Linked DNA regions of Solanum lycopersicum. The protein of the gene in region 1 binds, or shares a complex with, the protein of each later gene. Links are inferred from orthologs where the notes say so. Each region holds a gene or a part of one and is shown in the gene's direction. Other genes may lie near its edges.

The links.
Region 2: condensin-1 complex subunit CAP-D2 (region 1) and structural maintenance of chromosomes protein 4 share a complex: the UniProt entries of both Arabidopsis thaliana proteins name them as parts of the condensin complex. The link is inferred for Solanum lycopersicum from reciprocal best matches to the Arabidopsis thaliana genes AT3G57060 and SMC3.
Region 3: condensin-1 complex subunit CAP-D2 (region 1) and condensin complex subunit 2 share a complex: the UniProt entries of both Arabidopsis thaliana proteins name them as parts of the condensin complex. The link is inferred for Solanum lycopersicum from reciprocal best matches to the Arabidopsis thaliana genes AT3G57060 and EMB2795.

The regions. Positions count from the first base shown.
Region 1 is NC_090809.1:60,386,476-60,390,707, reverse strand, and holds the start of condensin-1 complex subunit CAP-D2, read left to right. Parts: upstream 1-1,432; 5' UTR 1,433-1,616; coding exon 1,617-1,752; intron 1,753-1,979; coding exon 1,980-2,338; intron 2,339-2,946; coding exon 2,947-3,107; intron 3,108-3,194; coding exon 3,195-4,232. UniProt on the Arabidopsis thaliana protein: Essential protein. Regulatory subunit of the condensin complex, a complex required for conversion of interphase chromatin into mitotic-like condense chromosomes.
Region 2 is NC_090801.1:66,532,125-66,535,624, forward strand, and holds part of structural maintenance of chromosomes protein 4, read left to right. Parts: coding exon 1-135; intron 136-791; coding exon 792-922; intron 923-1,219; coding exon 1,220-1,372; intron 1,373-1,459; coding exon 1,460-1,649; intron 1,650-1,796; coding exon 1,797-1,930; intron 1,931-2,423; coding exon 2,424-2,582; intron 2,583-2,970; coding exon 2,971-3,279; intron 3,280-3,396; coding exon 3,397-3,500. UniProt on the Arabidopsis thaliana protein: Central component of the condensin complex, a complex required for conversion of interphase chromatin into mitotic-like condense chromosomes.
Region 3 is NC_090806.1:62,344,342-62,347,993, forward strand, and holds the end of condensin complex subunit 2, read left to right. Parts: coding exon 1-154; intron 155-237; coding exon 238-268; intron 269-731; coding exon 732-871; intron 872-1,507; coding exon 1,508-1,609; intron 1,610-2,686; coding exon 2,687-2,887; 3' UTR 2,888-3,152; downstream 3,153-3,652. UniProt on the Arabidopsis thaliana protein: Regulatory subunit of the condensin complex, a complex required for conversion of interphase chromatin into mitotic-like condense chromosomes.

The DNA.
Region 1 (4,232 bases):
ATAGTAGTATAAAAATCAAGAAATGTTGACTGTTCCTTAAAAACTACTCCTTCTATAGTATAATCAACGTAACTATTTGTATCGTCCCATTTTTCAGAATGCATAACCAAAATAGCTAATAAGCCCATTATCTGTACATTTATGAAAAGAATATTTATATATAAATAATTCAATGAGATCATATATACAATTAATACAACAATTTTTATACAATCAAATTATAGAAATTTTATACTGTTGTTTTTTTTAATATACAAACACTACATCTACAATAGTGTATACTTCTTCCAAAAATAAATCGTATGACATAGAATTTTTATACTGTTATTCTCTTTAATATACAAAGACTACATCTACAATAGTACATAATTCTATCAAAAATAAAACACATGATTTATGAATATATACAACTATGAACACTGATTAAATATTGTCGCTTTCAAAATATACAAATATCGCGAATAACATATACAATTACATGAACAGTATATAATTGTATGTTGCAAAATTTCAGCTTAACAAAATCATATTTTGATTTTTTTTTTAAAAACAAACGATCGAAAACAATTCACAAATTCTAAAACCAATTTAACATTGTATAGTTATTGCAATAATAAACAAGAAATTTCATCGAATAAAAACTTATCTGTATTTGATTGCAAAAATTGCTGAACTTCAGTTTCACAAAGAGCAAAAAAATAATTATAATTTTTTTGTTTCAATGGCTGTATGATTTTTTTTTTTTGAATTTGAACGTTTAGCTTAAAAAAAGGACGTTTCCCTAAAATTGTGGCATTATCTTGATTTATTGTTACCATATTTAATGCTTCAGTTACAAACAACTTTTTAAAATAGAATTGTATAAATAATAATAAAAAAATTATATACAAAATTAAAGACACCTTTAATAACTAAACTATACTCATATAATGTAATTAGGTAAACTATACCCATATAATGTTATTTAATCAAATACATTTACCATATATGAAATTTTTTTCCTTTTTTTAATAGTATAAATTAGGATGCGATGTAATTAAATGATGATATTTAATTAAATATTTTGAATTTTTAAGTCTTAAAAATATAACATTTACCATTAGAATACCCCTAAAGAAAATAGCCTTTTGTGTTTAGAAAATAATAGAAATTAGGATGAATAAAAATTAATAATAATGTTATCCAATCTTAACCATATGTCTCGAATTTTAAGCTTAAGGAATATAATATTTTATGTTAAAAGTGACGCTTAAAAAATATCCAAATAAAAAGCTAAGAAATATAAAAAATAAGATGAGTGACTTTTTTTTTTTTGATTTTCCATCTATTATTCGATAATTATATTGAAATTCTATTAAATTAAATTTACATAAATATTTCAAATTTATGTAAAGTTTCGTAACCTGATTAGAACTCGAACCCGAAACATAAATGATATTGTATTCCCGCTCCCCTACGGTTCTTTTTTCATTTCAAATTTTCTCATCTCATTCCCAGAACCTCTTCTTCTTCCTTCTGCTTAAGCTTTTGTGAATTCAAAAATCTAACCGATCTAGGAAGTTTACACCATTATTTTCTGTAGAAATTCTTCAAATCTTTGACCCCATTTCTCTAAAATGGCTCCACCTTTCATATTTCCCCCAAATTTATACTCTCTGGAAGAAGAAGACTCCGATAGCAACTGTCTATCAGTTCAAAATCCCACTTCACTGAGCAATCTCCGTCCTTCTGAATTGGAAGAATTTGTCAAAGGTTTGTTCTTTTCTGTTCTTGGGTTTCAGCTTAAAGGTCAATTTTCGATAATTTATAATTTTTTTTTGAACTTACCTATTGCGTGCTCTTCAATTTTTCACAATGGGTTCTTCTTCTTTTGTCGAATTCGGCAACTGGGTTCTCATTCCTTTTCGATTTCGGCAACTGGGTTCTTATTTTTTTTCGATTTTTTCTACTTGGTTCTCTAATTTTTTTAATTTAAACAGGCGTCTCTTTTGACCTATCGGACAAAGAGCTATTCTGTGTGGAGGAGCATGATGTGTTTGACCGTGTGTATTCACTGGTGAAGGAGTTTTCTTGTCTTACTCCAGGGTGTAAGCTCAATTTGGTGGAGTCTCTTAGGTCCAACCTCAGTGTTTTGCTCCCCACTGTGGATTCCCTCTTGAGGGTATCTCAGCAGAAGGATGGAAATGCTGATGAAGAGAAGAATGACAGTGAGGAGGATGAGTGTTCGCTTGCTGATAGAGTTGCATCATATCGAAATGCTTTCAAAATATACACTTTCTTCCTCATTCACATTGTGCTCATTGAGGAGTCTACATCTAGTTCTAACAACAGTACAAAAGTAAATTTCTTTCTTTATCTGATAGTATGTGTGTGTGATGCATGTAGTATACTCACAAGGAGTGCAATTTTATGAAATGCTTATAATGAATTTACTGTTTTTAGTCAATTTCAACTGCATGTATAAATGTGTATTCTTGCGGGCAAGGGATATTGTAATCCTGTTGATACTAAAAATGATTAAAGGTTGTTACTCCGTCCGTTTCAATTTGTTTGTCTTAGTTTGACCTGACTCCAAGTTTCAGTATGTAAAGAATACTTCTGAATTTTGTAGTCTTAAAGATGTATAATGTACCAAAATGCTCTTTAATTTTGTGGTCTCAAACATGCAACACATGAGGTTGAAATCAAAGAATTGCCAAATTAGGAAAAAGTCATTATTTTCGAAACAACCTAAAAAGGAAGGTAAGTGAAACAGATTGAAACAAAGGGAGTACTAAAATGATCCCAGGCGGAGTTTCAAGGGATACTAGAGATTTTGAGTTTAGTTGATTTTGTGATGTCCTTGTGTGTATTTATTTTCTTTATAGCTCTTCTTGAAAGCATATGTTCCTTTTTGTTTCATACTGAAATTTCAAGGGCAATTGATAGTATGTTGATTGGCTCTAGGTGGTCGCTAGTAGTCGAAAGAAGCAACTTGTTAGTGCATGGAATTGGGAGCCACAACGGGCAAGGATACTGAATTCAGTTGCAAATTCATTAGAGATCAACCTCTCGATGCTGTTTGGATCATCGGATCCCGATGAAAATTACTTGTCCTTCATTGTGAAGTAAGGGCTTTTCTTTCTTTTTGTTGAGCTGATTATCTTTAAGTGGATCAAAGTAGTAACTCAATCTGATGATGTGGATTGCTGCAGGAATGCTTTTTCGCTGTTTGAGAATGCGGCAGTCTTAAAAGATTCAGACACAAAAGACGCCTTGACTCGCATAATCGGGACATGTGCTACCAAATACCACTATGCTGCACAATCATGTGCTTCAATTTTGCACCTGGTTCACAAATTAGATTTTGCAGTTTCCCATTTGGCTGATGCAGTTGCTTGGGCTGAAAAGAAGTATGCTGATGGTAGCATGGCTTCTTCTCTTATCAGAGAGATAGGAAGGACTGCCCCGAAAGATTATGTGAAGGATACAGTAGGGGCTGAAAATGTTGGGCGCTTTCTTGTAGAGCTCGCTGATAGAATGCCTAAGTTGATCTCAACTAATATTGGCTTATTAATCCCACATTTTGGAGGTGAATCTTATAAGATGAGAAATGCTCTTGTTGGGGTGTTGGGTAAGTTGGTAATGAAGGCTTTCGACGACGGTGAAGGTGAAGTGAGTTCTAAATCGATTCGTCTCCGAACCAAGCAGGCCATGTTGGAAATTTTATTGGAACGTTGTAGGGATGTGTCAGCCTATACAAGGAGTCGAGTGCTTCAGGTCTGGGCTGAATTATGTGAAGAACATTCAGTTTCAATTGGCATGTGGAATGAGGTTGCAGAAGTAGCGGCTGGGAGGTTAGAGGATAAGAGTGCAATTGTCAGAAAATCTGCACTGAATTTACTTATTATGATGTTGCAGCACAATCCCTTTGGACCCCAGCTTCGAGCAGCATCTTTTGAAGCAACCTTAGAACAATACAAGAAAAAGTTAGATGACCTAGGACCGAAGGCTCAGCCAACAAGTGTTTTGGATGGACTGTCTTCCTGTGATGAAATTAGCAATGAAGATGGGGAGGTCCTCAATGTGGGTGAAGAGATGAACAAGGAACAGTCTGACAGTCTGACAGACAGCTGCTTGCCTCATGAGGAAGATATGATAGGCCAGACAGACGATTCTGTGCCAGATTTTGGGAATTTGGAGCAAACAAGGACCTTGGTTGCATCGCTGGAGGCAGGCTTGAGATTCTCCAA
Region 2 (3,500 bases), on another chromosome or scaffold:
AAATTTCTGACACAACTAATGAGTGTGAGGAGTCTGCAAATCTTATTCCAAAATTGGAGAAAGATATTCCAGGCTTGCAACAACTTTTGGTGGATGAGGAGAAAATTTTAGATGAAATAAAGGAGAATTCTAAAGGTAAAGTACTTGAATTAAGTGCTTGTTTGGTGGTTTGCATGTCAAATACTCTGAATTTGTCCTATTGCCATTATGCAATTATTACAATTAGTTTCTTTCAATTACACCTCAATTCCAATTAGTTGGGGTCGGCTATATTTTTATGCTTGTTTCTACATTATTCTGTCCAGTTAGGGATCTCTAGATCTCACACTTATCTCTGCATAAGGCCATACGCACTGACCAGAATAAATACTTTTTATGAACTTACGATCAGAAGTAAGTATATCAGCAACATCAATTACTATTCCTTTTTCAAAATAATTGATATTGCTGTATCGGTTATAAAGATATTTTCTCATAACTCTCGATCAGTACATATGAAGTGGCATCACACTCAGAAGCCTTTCTGACTTTAAGCTCCAGGCTTGTTTCTCATTTTAAAGGTCTCTTTTCTATTAACTTCTTTAGATAATATTCCATTGGTTTGATAATTAATGGCTGTTCTTATTGGTGCTTTTGGGTAAGAGTTAGATGACTAACAATTTAAGTTATTACATAAGTTCACTTTTGCATCTAACCATTGATGTTTATTGCTCATAGCAGCCTTATTTATTGGTCTAGCTCTAACATATCAAATATATTTCTCTCACTCTTGTACAATTGTTTCCAAATAGTTGAAACCGAGGCTTTCCGCAGTGAGCTTTCTGCTGTTCGGTCTGAATTAGAGCCTTGGGAAAAGCACTTAATTGAGCACAAGGGAAAGCTTGAAGTGGCATCAACTGAAAGTAAACTTTTGAGTGAAAAGGTATTTGCTGATTATAACATTTGAGATCTCCTCTCTACTCTTACTCCGACAGCTCTTTTCCTTATAATATGATTCACTTACCCTATGAGATCTGCACTTTTTAACTGAAGCTGCATGAAGCATTTTAGTCATGACTTGTCTTATTCCAACATGGAAGCTTAAAATGCCAAGCGCATTACCTCATGTGAAGTTGTACTAGCAGTTTTTCAGAATAATACACATTTTTAAATTGCTTAGTTGGTCCGTAAGCTAGCTATTTAATATTTCACTCATGGGTTTAGTCATTAATGCTTTCAGCATGAGGCTGGTCGTGCTGCCTATATTGAAGCACAAGAGCAGATTGTGGAAATACAGAAACGAGTAGAGATAAAATCGGCAAGCTCAAAAAACATCGCCAATGAGCTTGAGAAGAACAAGGTTAAAGCACTTGAGGCTCGAGCTGTTGAAAAGGTATGTGTTTTGAGTATCTCTACCATTTGTCATTTTAACCAGCTGTTGAATTTGTTCTGGGCTTGTGATGTACTTGACTGGTTGTAGGAATGCCTTCAAGAACAAGAAAGATTGATACCTCTTGAACAAGCGGCCAGACAAAAGCTTACTGAGCTTTCATCTGTTATGGAATCTGAAAAGAGCCAGGGATCTGTCCTAAAAGCAATAATGCATGCTAAGGAGGCAAATGTGATAGATGGCATATATGGTCGAATGGGTGACTTGGGTGCGATTGATGGTGAGAATATTTATGTCACATTTAAAACTAGTTCACGTCCTTTGCTTTATTTTTGTTTCATTTGTTGGCAGAGGTAGTGAAATTAAGAGCTGAACTATAGCTCACATAATTTGAGCATAAATTACTGAATATTTTATTTTCCCACAGCAAAGTATGATGTTGCCATATCAACCGCATGTTCTGGGCTTGATTATATTGTTGTAGAAACTACAGCAGCAGCACAAGCATGCGTGGAGCTTCTTCGAAGCAAAACCCTCGGCGTAGCAACTTTCATGATTTTGGTATGTCTTCTTTAATTTTTGTAGTTTCTTAAACTATACACCGTGCCCTTTGGAGAAGCTAACCAAGTGGTCTATAATTGGATTGGAATCTCACTCTCTGTTGGACATGTGAAAGAACATTGCTGCAGTTTATCTAAAGAAAAAAAGAAAAAAAGAAAAAAGAACATGATTGCTGCAGTGAAAGTTAAATAAGAAGCTGGATCATAAAGACCTTCTGTGAGGATCACAGTACCTTGGTAGTTGGTAGTATTTTCCCAATGCTAGTTGGCTACAAAAAAGATGAAATTAAGCAAGTGCAATAAAGTATTGCATTCAAATAGTAGATAAATCTCACATTGATTTTGGAGGTCAAATGTATTTGGTTTGAACTAGAAAATGTGTAATTACCATTAAAAATTACACTTCCAAAATACTCATTGGTAAGGAGTCCCTGAAAAGTAAAATCATTGGTGTTATTTCAAATGTATATTTGATTTATACATATTTTTCGCAGGAAAAACAAGCTCATTATTTGCCTAAAATCAGAGAGAAAGTCAGAACGCCAGAAGGAGTCCCACGCCTTTTTGATTTGGTGAAAGTTCGAGATGAGAGGATGAAACTAGCATTTTTTGCTGCATTAGGAAATACAGTTGTTGCAGAAGATATTGATCAGGTGATGTTTACATAATTCTTTTAATTCTTCCCTGATGAAATACAACTGTTTTGACTATTTGGCTTGTCATACCATTTTTTGACTTGCTTGGTAAAATTATCTCTAGTCAACATTTTGACTGATTAGCAAATGCAGTGATTATTTTCTGTCGCCCAAATAAAAGATTGAGAAATTTAACACTTGGACCTCTTGAAATGTGATTTTAGCTAGGGCTCTCCAGTTATCTATTTTAGGACATACAATAACATGGAGATTTCAAATACTATTTTTGTAAGGTTTGCTGATCGCCATAATTGTACGTCAAGACTCAGACAACATGCATTATATGTATTTTCATTATTAGGCAGAATTGCTAGATCAATAATTTGCGATACTGTTAATTATGCAGGCATCACGTATTGCCTACGGTGGGGACAGAGAGTTTCGCCGTGTTGTAACACTTGAAGGTGCTCTTTTTGAAAAATCTGGAACAATGAGTGGTGGAGGGGGTAAACCTCGTGGTGGTAAAATGGGCACATCTATCCGTGCTGCTAGCGTTTCACCAGAGGCTATATCTGCTGCTGAAAATGAACTTTCACAGATCGCCGGAAACTTGGATAATGTACGCCAAAGAATTACTGATGCTGTGAAGTGTTACCAGGCCTCAGAGAAGGCTCTTTCTCTTGGCGAGATGGAATTAGCCAAATGCAAAAAAGAGGTCTGACATTCATGTTTTATTGATGTTATTTGCAATTCTTTTCTATGACTATTTTTAATCTCTTTTAACGCTTGTCTTGCACCATGAGAGCTAAATGCTTTTTTGGTTTCTGTACAGATTGATAGCCTGAAGTCCCAATGCGATGATCTAAAAAAGCAACTGGATTCCTTGAGAAGTGCATCAGAACCCAGTAAGGATGAAGTTAATAGATTGAAGGAACT
Region 3 (3,652 bases), on another chromosome or scaffold:
GGACACTGATCTATTGCATGTCTTTGCTCCTCCAAAGAATCCCAAGTTACTACTCCTTCCAGCAAATAGAACACCGTGTAACAGATTACTTCCAGAAGATTGTCATTATCAACCTGAGAATCTTGTGAAGCTGTTTCTCCGACCCAATGTCACGGTAAGTCTCGTCACTTTGATGAGTTTGTTATTTGCTGACTACCTTAAAAATACATTCTGATTGCTTGTATTCTCTTGCCTTAGTGCCTTGGAAGGAGAGGAAAGCAAATCCCAGGTGAGATAATTTTTATGGCCATCAACTGTTAAAACTTTGTACATGGACATAATTATGGATATGTATAACATTAATGAGTGATAGATTCTGTTTTTGCAGTTGATTTTTAACTGCAAATGTTGAATTTGAATTCAAATGCATTTTTGCTAGGTCATCTTACCTACTAGAGCAGTGACACTACTGTGGCTTTTGACAATTAAGTGCTTTAAATGATTTCATCTGCTTTTGAGTTGAATTTAGAAGAGTTCTTGCGATGTCTTTTGTAAATCCTACTTTCCTAGATATGAATGCTCTCTATTGGCTTCTTGACTATTTCATAGGTTGTGTCTTCTACTGCCTATAGAATTAACGTACTCCTGTTGCTGTATATTTACCAGTTTTCATAAAAAATCGGAATGTCACGTATTGTGGCAGATGAAAAAATTGTTACTATGTGACTTGAGTTGCATGGTTCTTTGTGTAGATGAAGCTGGTCAACAAAGTGAAGATTTTGGAGCCATGCCATCTTGGGATGATGATGGTGGATTTCCTGAGGCTTTTGATGATGGCAACACATTTAGTGATGTGGAGGAATCAAGTACACTTGTCTCTCAACCCCGCCAGGTTTGTTCCTGTTTGCAAATCTTGACTATATATGTTTGTGGTTCTGCAATCTCGATTCCTCCTAGTGTAACTTTCGACGCTTAGGCCAACAATTGATCAAGTATGATATATACAATTGAGTGAGATCTCCTGCAAAACTATGACTTAAACATTTATCAACTTGTACTTAACCAGTTACTACCAAATATCATGTTATGAGTACCAGGCACTTCAAACCCTGTCACTGATTTTTGCTTTTAAGAAATTTGCACCTTAGCTGTTCTATTAAGGTTTTGCTGTACCTGTTTCTTTCTTTCTTTTTTCTTGTGGCTCTTTGGTACTATCGTTAATAAGTCATTGTTTATGTTGAAAAGAAAATATACTTCATCAAGGACATTTGCAGCATTAATAAGCATTAGTTCCTTTATTCTTTAGGCAAACGTAAGAGAAGAAACGTCAAATTGTGTTATCTGTCACTTAATATGTGGGAGGAAAAATGTCAAAATGTTCATGTTGCTTGCTAAATGGAAACTTATTCCGACAGAAATCTTTCGTTGCACAGTTACTAGGGGATGTTGTTCCTCTGTAGAATTTGCTAGATGGAGGGCTTCTTTTGAAGCAAACTGAAACATCTAGTGACCTTGTCTGAATTAACAGGTAAACAAGATTGAAGTTCAGTATGATAAAACATCCAAACAAGTAGATGTTCAAGCACTTAAGGAAACACTTTGGGACCAATTGAATCAAACATCAGTTGAGGTGAGTTCAAACTTCTTACTTCACTGGTAGTGTGTTCTACTTCTTGCTAGTGAATTTATGCATTTTTCCCATGTAGAATATCCTCTTATATACAACAAATTTAGTATTCGTTCTCATCACCATGCCGAGTGATAGTGCCACATCAACTGATAAGGAGAGTATTATTATTATTTTGCCATAGATTTTGGTTCGGAAATTTGAAATGGTATTTGTAGATTATTTCAAGCAACTGTTTGTTTATCAAATTGACCGGCTATTTAACTTCAAATTTGAAGTTTGAGTTTTTCATGTTTTCATTCAACTTGTACATATGAAACTTAAACTTGTTTTCATGTCCAATCACAATTTCTAACTTCCAAATACCCCTTCTTCAACTTCAAATACAACTTTTCTTATATCTCAATCAGATCATGTCCAAACACCTACTTAGTGTTTACCAGGGATTGTTAAGGTCAAACGTTTGATATTGGCTCTTCTTAAATAGTAGCAAGTGAAAATAGTTCTAAGGAGATGAGCAAGTGATCCATTTTTTTTCTCCATTCTGTAGTATAATATAGTTGACAAGTGGATATTCATTTATCTTAGTTGGATATGCAGTTTTGAACTAATTGATTACATCTAATATGGAAGCAATCAATTGGAAGCTAAACATCCGATATTAGTTAGACTTGTTTATCATTTAAACAATAAAAGGGTGTGCCAGAGCAATTGTACGATAGTCTGTTAAGGTCTGAATTTGATTGATGAAATATCTAGAAAATTTACATACTTGATTTACTCCAGTATTCAACTTAAATCCCTCAAAAGGGTGGGAAGCTGTAAAGCAAATGAATATAACTGCATAGTCATTAATGAGATTATAAATGAACTACTAAATTGGCTGACTTTATGACAATTTCTTTAGCCAATTTTATTTAATTAATGCGGTTCAAGACTCCCTTTGTTAAGCAGTTCCTCCAGGGTTGTTCTCTTATCATTGATCAGCATAACATTCTAATTGACGGGGCTTTATCCATTTACCTTTTAGCATGTTTGTCAGACATCTATATCCTGAATGATTCACATGGTAATGTGCAGGAAGAAGGTGTATCTTTCAAGCACATCTTGGCTGCTTTTCCAAACGAATGCAAAGCATCAACATCCGTCGATGCAATATCTCCTCATTTATGCTTCATTTGCTTACTGCATCTTGCTAATGAACATGGATTACGGATACAAGGTTGTCACGGCTTGGATGATCTCAGTATACAACTTGAAACTCACGAACGGTCTTCCTAATGCTGTGGCCTAAGTCATTTATTCTTTCAGCTTTTGGATTTCTTACTGTAATGTATATCACTTGTAGATTGGCCATTCAAGCATATGCTGCTTGTGGTGGATCCTTTCTTCTGTAGTGCTTTATAGGTTAGTTAATTCGTGTAAATTATCAGATATTGTCAACAGTTGGCTTTTGAATTGTTGTCAATTTTCAGGCTTTTGCTGATATTGTACTTACTACATTTATTTTGCTAATTAGATTGACGCAGCCATGTATTTGTGCTTATGCCTTTCTGTACGCTAAATAAAATAACTGAATCTTTTCAATGTGGATATAGCAAAATTTAGTTGAACTTCTGTTGAGCTTTTGATATGATTTTTTATAGGCCCAAATAGAGCAAGTATTACAAAGCGGTTGATGAAGCCATTGACACTTAAATTATGGGTTTTTTTGAACTGAACAGTTGAACATATTTTTGTTAGACGTTTTCTGTATATATTATCACATTTGAACTGACACCGACATTCCTTAATTCTTATCCTTAGAAACCTACTTGGACTATCTATCTTAGATAGAGAACTATGGGACGTATTGCAACCTGCCTTATAAAAAGGTTTTGCAAGAGATTACTTACCATGACTTAGATCTATCCGGTCTTTGAAGGAATGTTTATTACATAAGTAAATTACTTAAAATTGAGACTGATGTGTATAAATAGAGGGAAACACATATTTTGTATGACTAATTTAACAACTATAGAAGTTTGAGAACACATAGAAAAAGTT